Linked DNA regions of Mytilus edulis. The protein of the gene in region 1 interacts with the protein of each later gene in a pairwise test. Links are inferred from orthologs where the notes say so. Each region holds a gene or a part of one and is shown in the gene's direction. Other genes may lie near its edges.

Evidence for each region.
Region 2: the proteins of cytidine deaminase-like (region 1) and DNA-directed RNA polymerases I, II, and III subunit RPABC3-like interact in a two-hybrid assay, tested with the Caenorhabditis elegans proteins (2 studies listed by BioGRID). The link is inferred for Mytilus edulis from reciprocal best matches to the Caenorhabditis elegans genes cdd-2 and rpb-8.

What each region holds. Positions count from the first base shown.
Region 1 is NC_092356.1:62,036,129-62,045,040, forward strand, and holds the start of cytidine deaminase-like, read left to right. Parts: upstream 1-4,952; 5' UTR 4,953-5,043; coding exon 5,044-5,068; intron 5,069-8,912. Other genes in the region: nucleolar complex protein 2 homolog, read right to left, coding at 4,857-4,897.
Region 2 is NC_092348.1:81,823,069-81,832,173, forward strand, and holds the start of DNA-directed RNA polymerases I, II, and III subunit RPABC3-like, read left to right. Parts: upstream 1-5,172; 5' UTR 5,173-5,388; coding exon 5,389-5,461; intron 5,462-8,097; coding exon 8,098-8,181; intron 8,182-9,105. UniProt on the Caenorhabditis elegans protein: DNA-dependent RNA polymerase catalyzes the transcription of DNA into RNA using the four ribonucleoside triphosphates as substrates.

The sequences.
Region 1 (8,912 bases):
CAATACCAACCTTCCTTTTGTAGTCATTAACATTGTGTTTAAATTTCATTGATTTCTATTTACTTAAACTCAAGTTATTGTGCGAAAACCAAGAATAATGCTTATTTGGGGCCTTTTTTGGCCCCTAATTCCTAAACTGTTGAAACCTAAACTCCCAAAATCAATCCCAACCGTTCTTTTGTGGTCATAAACCTTGTGTCAAAATTTCATAGATTTCTATTAACTTAAACTAAAGTTATAGTGCGAAAACCAAGAAAATGCTTATTTGGGCCCTTTTTGGCCCCTAATTCCTAAAATGTTGGGACCAAAACTCCCAAAATCAATACCAACCTTCCTTTTGTGGTCATAAACCTTTAGTTAAAATTTCATAGATTTCCATTCACTTTTACTAAAGTTAGAGTGCGAAAACTAAAAGTATTCGGACGCCGGACGACGACGACGACGCCAACGCCAACGTGATAGCAATATACGACGAAAAAATTTTCAAATTTTGCGGTCGTATAAAAATTAAAAATTTCAATATATTTCTATATGAAATCTAGTACAAATATTTAGAATATTTAAAGTATTCAAATAAATGTCTCCTCTTTTGAAAATTGTAAATTTAGGGCACAATTTTGATCATCTACATATACCTTTGATAATGATAAAAAAATCATTAATATTTATATCATAAACAGGTGTGTTTATTGTCTACTGGTTAAGAGACTCATGGCTACAGTGCTGAAGGTCCACATTCAATTCAGAGCATTGAAAATATCAGTTCATCAGATAGGTGATTTTCAACTTCCAACACAATATCTCTGGTACCAAGACCGGAGTTTAAACTAGAATGGGTACTTTTGGGACCTCAGTTGGTCAATGTTGCCAATGACCTTGACCGGAAGATCAATCTACTGATACTGTGGATTTATTTATTTTCGTGGGATACCAGTTCTCATTGATTTCGTGGTTTGAGGTGAACCACGAAATTAAATGTTCAACGAAGTATAAATTCTCTTTAGGCTTGTATAAACCCTTTAGTAAAACCACGAAATCAAATAAATTTTCACTAAAATACAATATTTTCTCAATCCACAAAAATTGGTACACACGAAAATAAATGAATCCACAGTCTCTCTTGGGTTTGTCTGTTCCTGGTGAGCAGCATGGCGGTTGGCTCCTAGTACTTTGGCTTTCTCCACCATAATAACAACCTTTATTCATTGTCCGAGCACTTCCGTGTGTTGGGATGGGGATTGTTCTTGTAAATATTTGTAAATACGTTGGTGTAACATCTCCATTACTCCATTTAACATGTTGGGAACACCCCCAAATGAGGGATATCCCTTATATAAAGGAATCCCCTTAGAGAAGGGGTCATTTTACTGTTGTAGAAAAGAAAATAGATTTTTTTTTAGATTTATTACTTTAAAAACATTGTAAAAGGAAAAAAATCATTATATTTCGAACAACTTTTCTAAAAGAAGGGTTGAATTAATTTTAATAATAAAGAAGATACATGTACACGTACATGTATACATTGTATACATTGTATGTCCAGGAATATAAAAAAATCTTGGACATGTTTTTACCATGTAATACCAGATAGATGTATAGATTTTTGGGAAATAGTTTCTTTGAATAGTATTAAATATAAATATGTGCCCATTTGTACTAAAAAGAGGTTTTTAACAAATATCCAAATTTTATCACTTGAAAAGTACCCTACATGTACATGTAGTCCAAATAATTATGACATCTTGAAAGGCTATTATATTTTTATCTTTGAGGCCTTACATTGCAGGAAGGCGTCAAAGCAAAAATTTAAAATAGCCTTCCAAGACCTCATAATTATTTGGACTAAAAGTATCCTAGTGTTATCGGTTCTCAGTAGTGTAACCAACTTTTGCTCCGTATTGAACCAGTTCTTATATGTTATACAATGTAAGAAGTTGTCACAGCTGTTTTTTATATTTGACTGTCACAGATACAAATTTAAGGGCATACCTTCTCCGATAATTGAATCGAATTAAACTTTAAAGTTCATAAGATATGGCCGAAACTGCGTTCCATAGATTTTTTTTCCATAGCGGTGTCACACTACATCTAACAATTGTGTAATACATATGTGGACTTGACATTCTTTTCGAGCTAGGTTTTGTTTACATTTGAAAATGTGCCACAGTTCCAGATAAGAATTCACAAATTGTGGTTTTTACCCACCATTTTTTTACGTAATTGGGTGATAAAGATTTTTAATTGCATTATCAATTTCAGTTCACCCCTCAAGCAAATATCAAATTGGGTTTTTAACCACTAAGCTAGGTGCTGTAAGAAAGTTTTGCCAGTAGTTTCACCTATTTGCCAGACCTACTTTACAAAAAAAAAAAATAAGTAGTTCCCAGATTTAGATATACCTTTCACTTTTTACAACTGGTTTCGTTTTTGACGTAACCCCAAGGTATGCAAACACGCACATGCGTTTGATGGATGCTTCATTAAAAAACTAGCTGAGTTTTGTTATTATCATAGCTTTCCCTAAGCTATCAAAAAGAAGATGAAAACATGCGGACATTTACTTTCGTTTTAAATCATTGTATGTTCCAACAGGGACCCATTTCAGCTACCTGATGCAGGGCTCTATTTTTAGAATGATAGGACATTTCCAATTATTAATATTATAAAATAGATTTACGCTACGACTGTAATCAGATAAGGGTAAATAACGCAAACGATAGCGAGTAAAAGCGTTAAGAACTCATAGTTTTGGCATATATATAATCAGATAATTTCCTTTGAATTAATTGGGTTATTGAACCCTGCAATGGGCAATTGCATTGGGTTTTTAATTATTTTTATTGTGTGATGACGCAAATATGCAGCTTATCTGGAGCTCTGATTTGCTATTAATGAACCAAGGGGATGAAGTTGGGGTTGTTTTGGGAATAAGGAAAAGTAGGTTAAAATTGAAAAATATTATTTATACTGTTGCAGTGTTCTCCCCAGAATTTTTGGATAGCGCTGTGGTAATCGCATAATTTTTGACAATGCTCAGTAACTTTATCGCGGCGCACGGTTTGTAATTGTTTTGTTATGTGTTTTTATTATATTATGCTGTTGATGTTTCCTCTTGTTATGATGTCCTCATCATGCTCATGGAAGTTACAGTGTACCCCTTAATGAGGCTTTGATTGTTAATGTTATTGTCTGGATAAAGAAGAAGAGTATTTTTTTCTCCATTGTAAATTCATATATATAATCCTCATACTATCTATGTATAAAACTGGAGGAGAAATCTTTTTCCATAATGGGTCTACACCAGACATGTCTGTGTGAAGATTTCTTAGCACTATCAGGTAATAATGCAGAACATGTAAGGACCAACAATAAAGTCATTGTCAGCTTCTGTTTCAGTGTTTGGTTTTGTAACCAACTGTAGCAGTGTACTGTTAACCTTATGACGTTTGACAGGAATTAACATTTTTTTTCATTTTTATGACCTTAACGTTTATAATATTTAAATGGCCTCATCCAAGCTTGAAATGGAGACAGTAAAATTTCTCAAGTCATATCAGCTTGGGTTTGTTTTTCTAATCATATGCTATCAAATGGTAGAATTTCTGACTAAACAATTATAAGTTCGAATAAGGGATAATGAATACTTAAAAGACTTGCTCATTTTCGGGGTTCGTATGGATAGTAAACCCGGCAAATAATTTGTAACAGACCCCTGTGTTTGATCGTTTTTAAAATCCTCGTTTGTTCAAAGTTTGTAAAACAAGTTTGTGAGTGACGTCAGGAAATGCGGTCAATTCATTTCATCTCATTTCATTCATATATGCCTCTATATATTCTTTAAATTAAAATAATAGATGTCAATGTCGAAATCTTTGTTTATTTTGATCTTTCAAAAAACGCCATTTTGTAAAATTTATGAGACTGGTCCCGCGGAGTTACTTTAATACAACGAAAATTCTTTCAAAAATCGTAAACCAGTCGATCATGTGGTCTGAAGTGAAAAATAAGCGGGAAATTTGAAAAAATTTGAAAAATACGAAAAAAAATATAGCGACGCGTTTGCATGGGATAGCGCTGTGGTCAGTGCAATAGGACAGCGGGGAATTGCAATAGCGCTGAAAAGCGCTGTGCTAAAACGGCCTGGGGAGAACACTGCTGTTGAACGTTATACCATGTCTGAAACTTGAAATGGTGACATTATTGCTTGCTTGAAGCGAGTTTTTATTCTGTCTTTGAAATACGGACATCAAGAAAACATGTGCGAATTCACGACCTACTTCTATTTTACCAGGGTGCATTGCTATTGAGAACTGATAACTATTGAGAACAGATGACTACGGGATACCCCTCATAAAAGGGATAGTCCCCTCATTTTAGGGCTAGAGTTGTTCCCAACCTGTTAATCCTGATATAAAGGAGTGTACACAGATTCAACTATACCCTTGCAGCTCAGTTGTTCCGTAAACATTTGGATCTACATTATAAGTAAGTACAAGTACATGTACATATATATACAAACATGCAATGTTATCCTAAATAAAATATTGAAAATTATGTATGGTAATCATTTTATTTCAAATTGGGTCCTCATCGACTATATTTGTGGTCCAGATCGAATTTGGCGTATCGGATTAGCGCCGGATCGACAGGAATTGATGAAAGCAATGGATAATAAATAATTATATTGTGTAAATCATGTATATTTGTATACATGTTTAAAAAAAAAACGTGTTTTTGAGCGATGGCGTTTAGTTAATTTTGTTAACGTGTAACTGTTTTGTATGACTAATTATTGATAGAATATAATTTTTATTCATTTAGAATGTTAAAAATGACATGATTTTAAGTACAACAACCTTTTCTTGCTGGACATGCTTTTCTTCATGGAGGCGGCCATAGCGGAAGTTGAAGTATTTGTTTTGATTTTTACACTTCCGGTTGAAGATGCATATATAAGCCTTTCAACTTTCACCTGTTGACCCTGGTGGTAAATAGAAATAGTAAACAAGTCTTCATTCATTCATTTTTACGTATTCGAATAACATGGAGAACAAGAGTTCAGATGCAGGTAAGGAAAATAATTATATGTTTTCCTAATTAGAGTTTTACGTAAAATTAAGAAAACTTGCATATGAAACAGAAATTTTTCATCTAGGATATAAATGAACGTTGTTTAGTAAAATGATGATTATAATGATGATGTTGATGACAACAACGACGATTGATTTTATTTTAATAATGATGCTGATGATAGTAAATTAATTATCAAATAATTAATAGATTTCGAATATACATGTAGTCATTTGAAGAAGAAAAAAAATAAGTAGTAAAAGAATAAATAAATATATATTCATAAACATGCATTACAATGTGAGACATTATGATTCCTTGAATAACTATGATAAATTGTAAGGTCTAACTGTTTATTTTTAAAATTACCTTTTTTGTATATACTTTTTTTTTGTGAAAAGGGGGGTTTAGTTTATCTCACTTTTGGTTTTGTAATAAAACATTATATTTATCGGAATTGAAATATCACATTGAAGAATAGTTCTGGGTGTACGTATTGAAAAAAATGATGAGGAGCCTGAGGACTGAGGAGAGATAGTCGAAATGTAGGGCCATTCACTCAAATTCTTTCGACTTCATTTTACTTGCATTGTGTACTGACCAAAAGGGAGGCAAAAGATACCAAATGACATTCAAACTCATATCAAAGTCCGAACACAAACAGACAATACAATATTGAAAAAAACATGAAAAACGACGAAAAATTAACCAACAATACTCAAAACATAATGACAAAAACACTAAGAATAGCCGACAACACGAACCCTTATTAACGGCCGTGGGTCATCTCACTGGGTGCTCTAGAAGGGTAAACAGATCCTGCTCCACATACGACACCTGTCGTGATACGCCTCTAAAATGTGTTGTCAGTCACGATTACAGATTTATGTATGTAATTTTTTCAGTAAATGTAATCAACTAATTTAAAACGCATAAAAACGCTCAGAGCTGCAATTTTGATAAATTCTGAGTATTATCAATGAAGAAAAATACATAAAGAATATTGTTAAGACTTGATAATAATTAAAATATTTCATTCCAGTAGGGGTTCTGACAGTGTGTGAACAAACACAGGAACACATAATTTATTATCGAGGAAAGTCGTTTTCAAATTAAAGCAAATATATTAGATAGTAAATATGTTTATTGTATAGCAATATAATATTTCCCACAGAACGTAACCAAAAGTTAGCGTGCAATAAATTCTAATATTGCAGTTAGTGCAATAAATCTTCAAAATTCATGACGTCATCAACGTTTAAATCTTAGTTTAAACCAATTTTTACTTTCAAATATTATATTTCTATACAATAAAAGGGTTATTGCATGAATATTAGGGAATACTGTCCCTCGTAGAACATATATTGCACTCGCAAGCTCGTGCAATACAAAATTCTACTCGGGACAATATTCCCCAATATTCATGCAATAACCCTATAATACTTGATATACTGCATAACGTATATTAAGTTTCAGGTGTATATAATAAGCCCCCGTACTAAAGAAGGAAGTAAACAAGTAAATACGTAGTAATTAGTTTCAGACGAACGACTGTGTATGAAATCGACCTTCGGTGTAAAATCGACATTGTCTGTCAGAATCGAAGGCGAAATCAATATATATCAAACGCTTTGTAAACATCAAATATATCTATTCATGGTGTGGAGTTTCAACGTGAGAAACATTATAAATAATTTCCATAAGTGAACAGTAAATAAATTAGTATAAAATCTGTTGTGGACAGTTGTCTCATTGGCAATCATACCACATCTTCTTTTTTGTATATATATATGTATTTCAACATTCTTGACCTCGTTAATATGCTCAGCTGAAGAATTTTCAGTCTGTCTTTAAATAACGTGTTCCACATTTTTCATGTCGGAGCCTTTTATAGCTGACTATAAGGTATGGGGTTTTCTAGTTTTTGAAGGCTTACGGGCCCCGTAATTGCTTATAAACACTCCATTTGAACTTTGGTAAAAAGTTCATACCACGTCTCCTTATTTTATATTCCAGCAAAAACTGTCGGTTTAGATGACTGATTATGAGAGTTACAAATAAGTCATTCTCTTTAATCCACTGGTTTGTCTTCAGTATATTTTAATAAAATGTTTTCTGGTGTATACTCACTATACATGCACATCACATTTGCCAATCGAAATAAAAATAGCAATTTCAAACATTGACACTATTTTAGTGAAAAGTTACAAGCTTTGGTGTACCAATTTGGTACAAAAAAGAAGGTTTAAAGACAGTTTAACACGGCTTCTTATTTGGCACAATTCCTTAAGATGGTTAAAAAAAAAGATGAAACAAGTTTTTTAATGTACATGTAGCACGTGAACGGTTGACTTAATTTTCTGAGACACGTTATTTTTGCGTCAAAGTTGAAAAAGTTCAATTTAGGAATTCCAAATTTAAACATGTGTTGGAAGAACATTTTCTAGATTTTAAAAGGTTTAAGGAAAACGAATAAACACTAAAACAAATGTATATATAGCTGTAGATATTTACATGTAGTGCATACTAATATACATTGTTATAGGTTACTCCGAATATATATGCACGAACATGTTTCTATTCACATGTAAAAATATCTTAACACAAAGTGCTTGTTTTCGTTAATAAACACGCAGATATAGAATCAATCTAGACAGTTACTTATATATAATTATAGTATAAAAAAATATCAGAGTATTATCAGATATATACGTGGGTCTGAATGATACAAGGTTCCCAGCATAGAGAATAATTGGCAAAAAATACAGAAAAAAGGGGGGAGGAGGAGAAAAACAGAAGAAACATGAAGTAGATTTAATAATGGGTTGTTATGATACATGTATAAATGATTGAAAACAATAGACAAAAAATAAAAAATACAGATAAATAGCATAAAGATTTAAGGATACAGAAATGAAGGACCCTCATTCGGACCCCCTTTAATCATAAATACATGAAACCGTATAACCGAGAACAACACGACGAGGTTAGGTGATTGAAAAATGCTCATGTATGAACGTTAGATGACATGTAGATGTAAAAAGAAAAGGGGGGGGGGGGGGGTAAGGTACGGATCCATAGTTACAATGTAGCCATCGTCAGTTTGAGTCTTTGCATTTGTAATATGTGAAGCTCCTAAGGGGACTTTAGGGACGGCCTGCCCCTCTTAAATCCGCATCTGGATTCTAAGCACGGACATTGCAGAAAGCACTAAAATAAAGCAACCATAGTTCAACGAGGTCTTTATTAGCACTTATTTCTGTTGTCAAAGCGGCAATAATTTGTGTTTGTATTGACATTATATTTATGTAGAAGTATGCATACATGTATATGTAACATAATTATGTATTTATGTGATATCGATGAATTCTAAGAATGTGTATTGAATTAATGTAGGATAAAAGCTCATTAGAGCCTATGTTGTCTCTGTTTGAATACCTTGCCGACTCTAACATGTCTAAATAAAGCTTATTTATTATTAATTATTATGTGTATTGCTACATATCAATAATTACGTAGTTTATTTCGCTATAATCCGGTTCATTCAGGATTGTATGAATTAGGGATGATCATTAGGATTGTGCAGACAGGATATTAATATTGTTTTTACTTATATTGTTAATCCCTTGCTTTTAAAAACGAATTACCTTCTTAACATACTACAATGATCATGATGAATGAATTAATTAATAAACATCAAATTATATAGTTAAATTCTGCACTTGATTCGAGAAAAGAAACTGTAAAAGTCAACAGAAAATCAATATACACAAGTACATGTAAACGTGGTTATCCGCAATGACGTAAATATATGCAATGTTTTTAATATATTTTAAATTGCT
Region 2 (9,105 bases), on another chromosome or scaffold:
ACAACATACAAGAAATAAAAGTTAAACCTATGCATGCGAAGCAAAACGGACGTGTAGACTGGGAAGACATATTAGGTCCTGCAAATAATTATATTATACAATTAGCAAAAAGGCACATAAATTGAAGCACTTGATCAGTATGATTAAAATTACCACATAGTACCAACTGGGGTATTTGTGAAAGATAGGAATGTGTAGATTCACAGACTTATACATATAACACTAGGGACACGGACAAATACAACGGATTTAGTTGAAATAAGTCAAGGGTCTTAGAAAAACGCGTCGCTTTATACAATGCCATAATAACACTGTGTCTAAACCACACCGGCAAAATTTGCTCGGACTCGATGGTATCTAACATCCGGCACAATGACGGAACACCAATAGACAAAATAAAGGTAGGTTTCTCCTTATTTTTTTATTTTTTTTATGATATCGAAGAATATATATACATATACAACTATTTTCTATTGTGAAATACAATATTTTCTACAACCGTTCTATATTAACGGAGAAATAAGTCAAAATGCATGTCAAAATGACGAATTGAGTGAACCTTGCCTCGAAATTGTTTAATTTCTCGTTAAATTGTTCACATTGTACGGAAAGAAAGGTACGGGAAGATAGATATTGACACGGAGATTGCAAATTTAGTTATTATGAGCATCTCAATAATTGTGTTTCTGTGTATGGAACGAAAGAAAAGGGCCATATCAAATTAAAATAAACCGGTTTCGTCAATGTTGTTACTTCACAATCACCCGGTTTCGTCTATATATATCACCCGGTTTTTTTTTGTTTTTTTTTAACAAACAATTTATGAAAAGAGACTTTGGCACGGATCGGAACATTGTCTTTCGAGAATTTAAATATATATTTATTGTAAAGTAAACTTGGCGTGTTAAAATCTATTTTAAACGGGAACTTTTGGACATAGTTAATTATGATAATACACATTTTCCTAATGAAAGGCGTATCCCTTATTTCACTTGACTTCAAACTAATTTTAAAAGGAATATAAATACTGCACTGGTATCTAATTATTTTGTAACATTATTATATTTTCTTTGTTTATAATAGTAGTATGTAAAGATGAAAAATAAAAGGATGTGTTTTGATTGTGCCATAATTTTAATTTACTATACTAGTACTATATTATATACACTTAGTTTACAATATTTACTATCAATTATTTATACATTTATGCATTCAATCATTGACGAACAGTCCCAAACCGACTATAGTCTATGCTGTTCTGCACAAATTAATCATGCATGCAGTCCTGCCAGATTTTCTGGTACTATATATACTGTGTTACTTGCGCACTAAAGCGAGTTTTCACACTCAAGCATCCATAACATTCCTTTTCTGGTAGGCACATTTATTTTCATAGGCATGTTTTTCACATTATTTTTACAGTTCAAATTCATTTTTTGTACAGTTCAAATTCAATTGAAACTTTAAGATAACTTTCGAAAACAATATCTGACAGTTTTGTATTTTCAATGTGAATAAAAGTTGATTTGCAAAACACGATCGTCATTTATATCTAGGTCTTATTAAGAAGAAGTGACGGTAACCACTTATCCCATAAACATTGACAATGAGACAACTTTCTTTTAGACACAAAAATTATGTTGAATTAATCAAGTTTAGGTCAGCGTATGCCTTAAACAATGAGAAAAACACACAAACTGCATGAAAGCAAGCTACAACAGGGCCCTATATTATAAATGTAAAACAATTCAAACAAGAAAACTACCTGCCTATTTTATGTTCAAAACGCATATGGTATAAAGCAACCAAAGACACCCATGGAATTACAAGCGTGTGATTCGGGAATGGACTGAGTCAAAGTGTTGTCGCTGACACAACCAGTACAACAAAAGTACAAATAATAAAAAATGATGAAAAACCTTAACTCGTCCGATGACAGAGCCTGTATAGTAAATGCGCGATGTGTGCCGAAACTTGTATCGTAGTTAAAATTATCCCTTAAATATAATAAATATACATGTATTCGCAGTTTACTATGAAGTCCACTATCACTGAACTAGTATAAATATTTATTAAGGGGCCAGCTAAAGTACGCCACCGGACGCGGGAGTTTCTCGCTTCATTGAAGACCCATTGTGGCCTTCGGCTGTTTTCTGCTCTATGGTCGGGTTGTTGTCGCTTGGAATTTGTATGAACTTTTCATGTTGATAGACATTTTAAAATAATCTGTTGTTTTTTATTATTTCAGATGACAGAAAACGTTACAATTGAGGCATTAGATGAGTCATTTCATGAACTTATCAATGAAAACTCATCAGCTGTTTCAACTGCAATCAACAGGACCGATGATCAAAATGTGTTTGTTTGCTGTTTTTGTGGGAAAAAATTAAAAACAATAAGTGGCCACAGACGTCATGAAAAAGGTCACTCTGACACTGAGTAAATTAAAATATTTGTGTTCTATAAGAGTAGGAATTCAAGTTTTTGCTTATCATTTATTTGAATCTGAGACTCATATAAATAATAAGCCGTTGTCCGGTGAACGAACATTGTTTTCCAACGACCCACAAAACTCCTTTTGAACGCTGAAGTTTAATTATCAATTAAAATGTAATGCGATTATGATTTTTTTTATTTGACCAAACCGGGTTATGCATTTTGAAATCTATGACGAAACCGGGTTGTATACATTGACGAAACCGGCCAGTTCCATTTTGACATGACCCATTTCTTTCGTTCCATACACAGAGATACAATTATGGAGATGCTCATAATAACTAAATTTGCAATCTCCGTGTCAATATCTATCTTCCCGTACCTTTCTTTCCGTACAATGTGAACAATTTAACGAGAAATTAAACAATTTCGAGGCAAGGTTCACTCAATTCGTCATTTTGACATGCATTTTGACTTATTTCTCCGTTAATATAGAACGGTTGTAGAAAATATTGCATCTCACAATAGAAAATAGTTGTATATGTATATTTATTCTTCGATATCATAAAAAAAATAAAAAAATAAGGAGAAACCTACCTTTATTTTGTCTATTGGTGTTCCGTCATTGTGCCGGATGTTAGATACCATCGAGTCCGAGCAAATTTTGCCGGTGTGGTTTAGACACAGTGTAATATAACTAGGAGCATATGATAAGATAAATACAAGAACATGTGGTATTTTTGACAATGAGACAACTCTCCACCAAATGACGTAAATATTAACCACTATATATATGTCACCGTAGGGCCTTCAACTATGGGCAAAACCAAACGGTCCCGATATGACAAGTTTAAAGCAATTCAAAGGAGAAATCTAATATGACAAGTTTTCATAGCTGTATATAACAAAAGCATATTTACAAATTAGGTATATTTTAACTCAATAATAACCAAATCAATGTTAAATCCTTCAAAGATCTTATACAGTGATCGATAAAACGATAACCTTTAAGGATAAGTGTATTCATAGAACCAATGAGTTAACGTAGATCGTTTCAGTTCGCGGGCTCTAATTATACAACATTCACGTAAAAATGAGGGGGCGATATCCCGCCTTGTAAAAGGGTTTTTACATTGTACAGCTTAAATTCCAAATACGGATCATTTTAACAAATGTAATTGAATATTTACATTGTAAGAAGGGGCAAAGTACCATCCACGCTTGATTAACCCTCATGAGATGTCCATGCAAGTAATCACATAATGAAAACTGCCAATCAAAACATAAAATTATTTACAAAGATAATCAAATAATCAAAAACCGTCCTAGATTATCAAATAAATAATCATGACTGAAATATTTGGTCTGGTTATCACATAATCACTAAAACAAGCCAACTTATCACATAATAAAAAAAAAACATGAAAAGGCTCATGCATCTACGTGACGAAACAAGATACCACTATACGTATGTACACTCATTGCTCAAAGTTCGAATAGTAAGCCGTAGTGCCAGTCAGCCGTGCAAATATCACTGCTTAATTAATTGGTCCAGGTCAAATGTGTTTTTGGAACTCTAATGGATAGTATATAAGAGGGGGAGGACAGGGGGTACCCTTCTCCCTTCTCCCACCCCTCTTCTCCTTTCTCCTACCCCCGTTCTCCTTTCTCCCATTAGAATAAAACATCTCCTTTTGAGATATTTTTTCTTGAAATATTAGAAAAATTTTTAAGAGGAGAGATATTTTATTTTTTCTCCTTTCTCCAACTTTTTCTCCTTTCTCCCAGCCTTCCTCTCCTTTCTCCTACCTCCTTTCTCCAACTTTTTCTCCTTTCTCCCAGCCTTCCTCTCCTTTCTCCTACCCCCTTTCTCCTTTCTCCCACCCCGTTTCTCCTTTCTCCTACCCCCTTTCTCCCTGTCTCCCTTACCCCTGTCCTCCCCCTCATATAAGGCCCATATGGTTAAATAATTTACTAGTATAATTTATGTCCAGTTCAATATAAGCTACAACAATCCATCGACTTATATGCAAAGGTTAAAATGCCTATTGTCTCAGTTTTATTACAAGACTACAGGAAAATTCCTTGTTCTGAAAAAAAATTCATGTATGCATTGTTTTATTTGAAGTTATGGTAAACAAACACAGGACCAATTCTCCGTTCAAGAATTTAAATGGGAATGTTTTGCTACTAGAGGTCTCGAGTGTCATTATTTAACTATTCAAATATTCATTATAAAAAATTGAAATGGAATAAAGGACTGTCTAAGAAATGAAATTTAGAAAGGACTGATTTTCCTAACACACCTATGATGTCATGATAGTTACCATAACTAAGGAAATCAAATTTCTATGTTTCAATATATTTTTCACAGTTCTGATCACTTCTTCATTTCCAGAAAACTTTTGATATGAATTTGGAAATTGTCATATTGAAATATTTGCCACTGGATGCTAAGCAGCCAATAATAAAATTCCGCCAATTAAATCAAAGTTTTTTAAAAATGATCATATTTTATCTTGAGAGAAAATGTATTATTTTCCCAGCTATAAGCTTTGCTAACTTTAGTGTATTAATCAGTTAATAGATTTGACAAGAATTAAAAACGTAACATCATTCGCGCTTGACCATCGTTATTTCTGCGCACATTACATCAGACCCCCATACGTCGCCCCGAAAATTATCAAAAAGTGGGCGTGTCACGTAGTGTGAACTCTTTAATAATGAAAGTAGGAAAAATGTATTTCAATTGCCACTTCCGGTTTCAATTAGCATGATTAGCAAACATTAAACGTTAATTTTGATTAAATAAGAACAATATAAGCCCTATAATTTGTATTTTGGTATTCTTGAACATCTACTCTAACACTGGAAATATCCTGTTTTGCGAAGAAAAACGATCTTTGGACAAGAAAGGAAATAAAGTTTGACTGCTAATTTTGTCGTCAAACAATGGCTGGAGTTTTGTTTGAAGATATTTTTGATGTGAAAGACATTGATCCTGATGGGAAAAAGTTCGACAGAGGTAAGCCAAATAAAATACTATTTTTCAAATATTTTTTTACTTGTCACTAAGGTTGAATGCTGTCCAAACGTGTTCAATCTCATTTACCGGCAAATGACATTCCAAGATGGCGTCTGCCGGGTGAAACGTGACATTTTCCTTTAGATTCCAACAATATTTGGAAATTAGCCAAGGTGATAATTTAGCTGAAGCTATAAGCAATGTTTTCTTTTCTTAATTTCTTCGAAAAAAAACTTCAGAAATTTGGTTCATACGTTGGAATTCCAGCATGTACCCGGTCTTTTGACAACATGTTTGTTCATGTCAGACCATTCTCATGTGATTGGCTTGTCACATTAAAAGAAGTACAAAACCCCCTGCCGACTGTTAGTACTTCATTCTGGCACAATCAAGAGAAGAGATTGGTACTGTTAATGTTACTGAAGATCTGTAAATATCAGAAATTGACATGATTTTATCACTTAAACCTCAACTAAAGATGCAAACTGATGTATGCTTTGGAGATCATTTAGAAGTAGACTGTGGACCCAGGACTTGTGACCTCACACCAGTACAAGTAAGGCTTTGAATTATGTGTTTTAATTTGGTGTCTTGGAAATTTCTTTCTATACATGAAATTGCACTTATTATTTCATGCAAAAAGATAAAAAAAAAAAAACCATGATAAATGATGATTGATATTGCAGTGAAATAATATGATCAATGTTATCTGCTATTGATTTAAAGTTGATCTGATTAACAGGCTGGAACATGATAGTAACCACCCCTTTTGATCAATCACTTGACAATAGTATTGTATTGTCATTACTATATATACTGCATAACTTCAATTACAATATAAATTGTAGCATATTAGAGTATTTGTCTTGTCCTCTGTTTTTTAATCTTAACACATAATCTTTTTTTGCCATCACTGACATTTTTCTGACAGAAGCCACATGTTGGATCTTGCACTGGTTGCCTAGGAAAGGGAATACACATTACTTACCTGTATGTTACCTGTGGGTTGACAAGTTCATTCACCTCTCATATTTACCATTACTCTATTATATATTTTATTACACCTCAACAAACTCTTCTTAATTTATTTGTAATATTTTATTAAACAATTGTTAATTCACTCTTGATTATTTATGTGAAGTGAATGTTCTACAAAAACACATTACCATACATTTGTATGTTACTATGTATAAGGGTTTTTTTTTTTGAAAGAGGGCATTATTGAAGAGTGGCATCATTCTTGTCTTTTACCTAATAATTTAATGGGACTTTTAAGGTTTGCCCCTTCTGACTTTTGTAGGGTACATACTTATCAACAGTTATCAAGAATACTCTATAAACAAGACTATAGCAATATGGTATTTGGTATGTGTACATACATGTACATGTATACCAAAGTTGTGCAGAGCATCAGCAATTTATTTTTTGTTAAATAAAAAAAAACTTGAAAAATAAAGGAAATCTTATAGACAAGTATGTATGCCTGAGTCTCTATTTTATTAACTGCATATATTTTAGTTAATTATTACTAGAAGATCATTTTGTGCAATTCAACTTATAAAAAGGGAATGGTTCTTCATTTGCTCTACTTAAAATAAATTAAATTTGAGGAAAATAAACCATTCTTTCCCTCTATATTTTTTTAACCAAGCAGAAATATGTGAAAAGGGAAAAGAAAAATGATATCAAAAGACATGCATGTTGAGTTTTCTTTGCGGTAATTTCTTTGATTACTGTATCAATAGTTACCTGAAGATAATAACAGTAAAGTCAAGAAGTACACAATCTACAATCAAAACATGACAAGGTTACTGGCATGCACTGATATTTGATCTTTCTTCCTTAGATCATCTGCTCTCATTAGAAGAGCTGTTGTAACTGATTAGAAAAATCATGTCTCATTACAAAGCATTAAACCAGATATTTTATTTAGCAATCCATAATTATTGATTTCAATATGGATGAATACAACTTATATTTTACACCTAGTACATGTATTTTGCACAGTGATTTGATTAATTTTATTTTCTGCTAAACCTTGCATGGTCTTCCTTTTCACCATGTTACTCATCAGTGCCATGGTTGTTTGTTTAATATATCTTCTTGTCATTTAGGAAATTTGGTATCAGAAGATTCTTGAATCATGGAAAATTGCATTAGAGCTTAAAATGTTTTTAAACATTTGTTGTGATTTGTGGAAGGTCAAATTTTGAACTTTAGATTTCACTTATTTTGATGTGTTGTTGTTTTATCATCTCATAGATATATACCCTCAGCAGCAGATCTAGAACTTTTTTAAAGGGGAGACCCACTGACATGATTCAGTGATTCCCTATGTAAACAACCAAATAACATTTGTTATATATTCCACACAAGTTATCATATTTCAGTAATCCTATTAGTGTTTCTTTTGTTTATCTTGGATAAGAGTGTTTTTGGAGTTATTATATGTCTTATATAATTCACAGCACTTATAGAAAAGAGAAAATATTTCACTGGCAACTATTCAAATTTATGAAGTATGAAAATAAATTATATCTTAAAGAGATGTCAGATTCTTCTTTATTATAGTTTGTTTTAATTTTTAAAGTTTTTGTCCTGATGACAATGTGTATAATGATTTATCTTTATTTCAGTATCCAGATTATTTTGTGAGTCAGAATCTTTCAAGATGGACTTGATTCTTGATGTGAACACTCAAATTTATCCTGTTGAATTGGGTAAGTGATGTTCAAATTTGCATTAGAAATTAAAAGAAAAAATAACATATAAATATGTATGTTAATTATTCAGTAAAGGTCACCTTGTGTAGATCTTCAAATGTCTTTCTAAGGCTAATATGTCTCCCCCCTCCCAAACCACAACAAAAAACAATGTAAAACAGAATTATAAATTGAATTTTATGAAAAAAAGTGCAAGATTGTAAGATTTGTTTTGTCTTATTATTTTTGGAAGAATGTCTCAGTGACTTGCCAATTTTGGGATACTCCTATGAACATTCCGTATGTACTGGTCAATATTTGTTCTAGGTCAATTCATATAAGTAATTCATATAAGTTTGGTTCATACCTTTTGCACACCTATTACAACATGTAACTGTGCTGAACTGTTTAGGGGGAGGAGGCGGATTTAGAGGGACAGGGGGGTGGGCCCCCCCTTTTTTTGGAAAAAAATGGTTGCTTATATAGGGAATCACTGAAGCGTGACTGGAGCAGTCCCCTCTAAGGCAGTCAGTGGGCCCCCACTTATGAAAATTTCTGTATCCACCAGTGGGAGGGGGAATGGGAAGTGCACTTGACTCCAATATGAATTGACTATTATATGAATTTTGTCATATATTCTGAAGTTTCTATTGCCATCAATATTCACTCAATCTGTTTTCATATAAACACTTGCAGTAATTCATGTCATTATTCCATGATATGTGGCAGATTTTGTTTCAGTTCTTTTTGGGTGTCAGTTGGTATGAATTGTTTCAGTGGGGTACTTTTTATACAAGGATTCATGATGGAAAGAAAATGCTAAGTGTCCAGTCCACAGCCAAAATTTTTTTCCAAAATTATTAAACTTGCATTTAATAATTAATCAAAATTCAATGTTTAATGGTTGCTATGTCAATCAGTCATATGTCTACACAAGTCAAT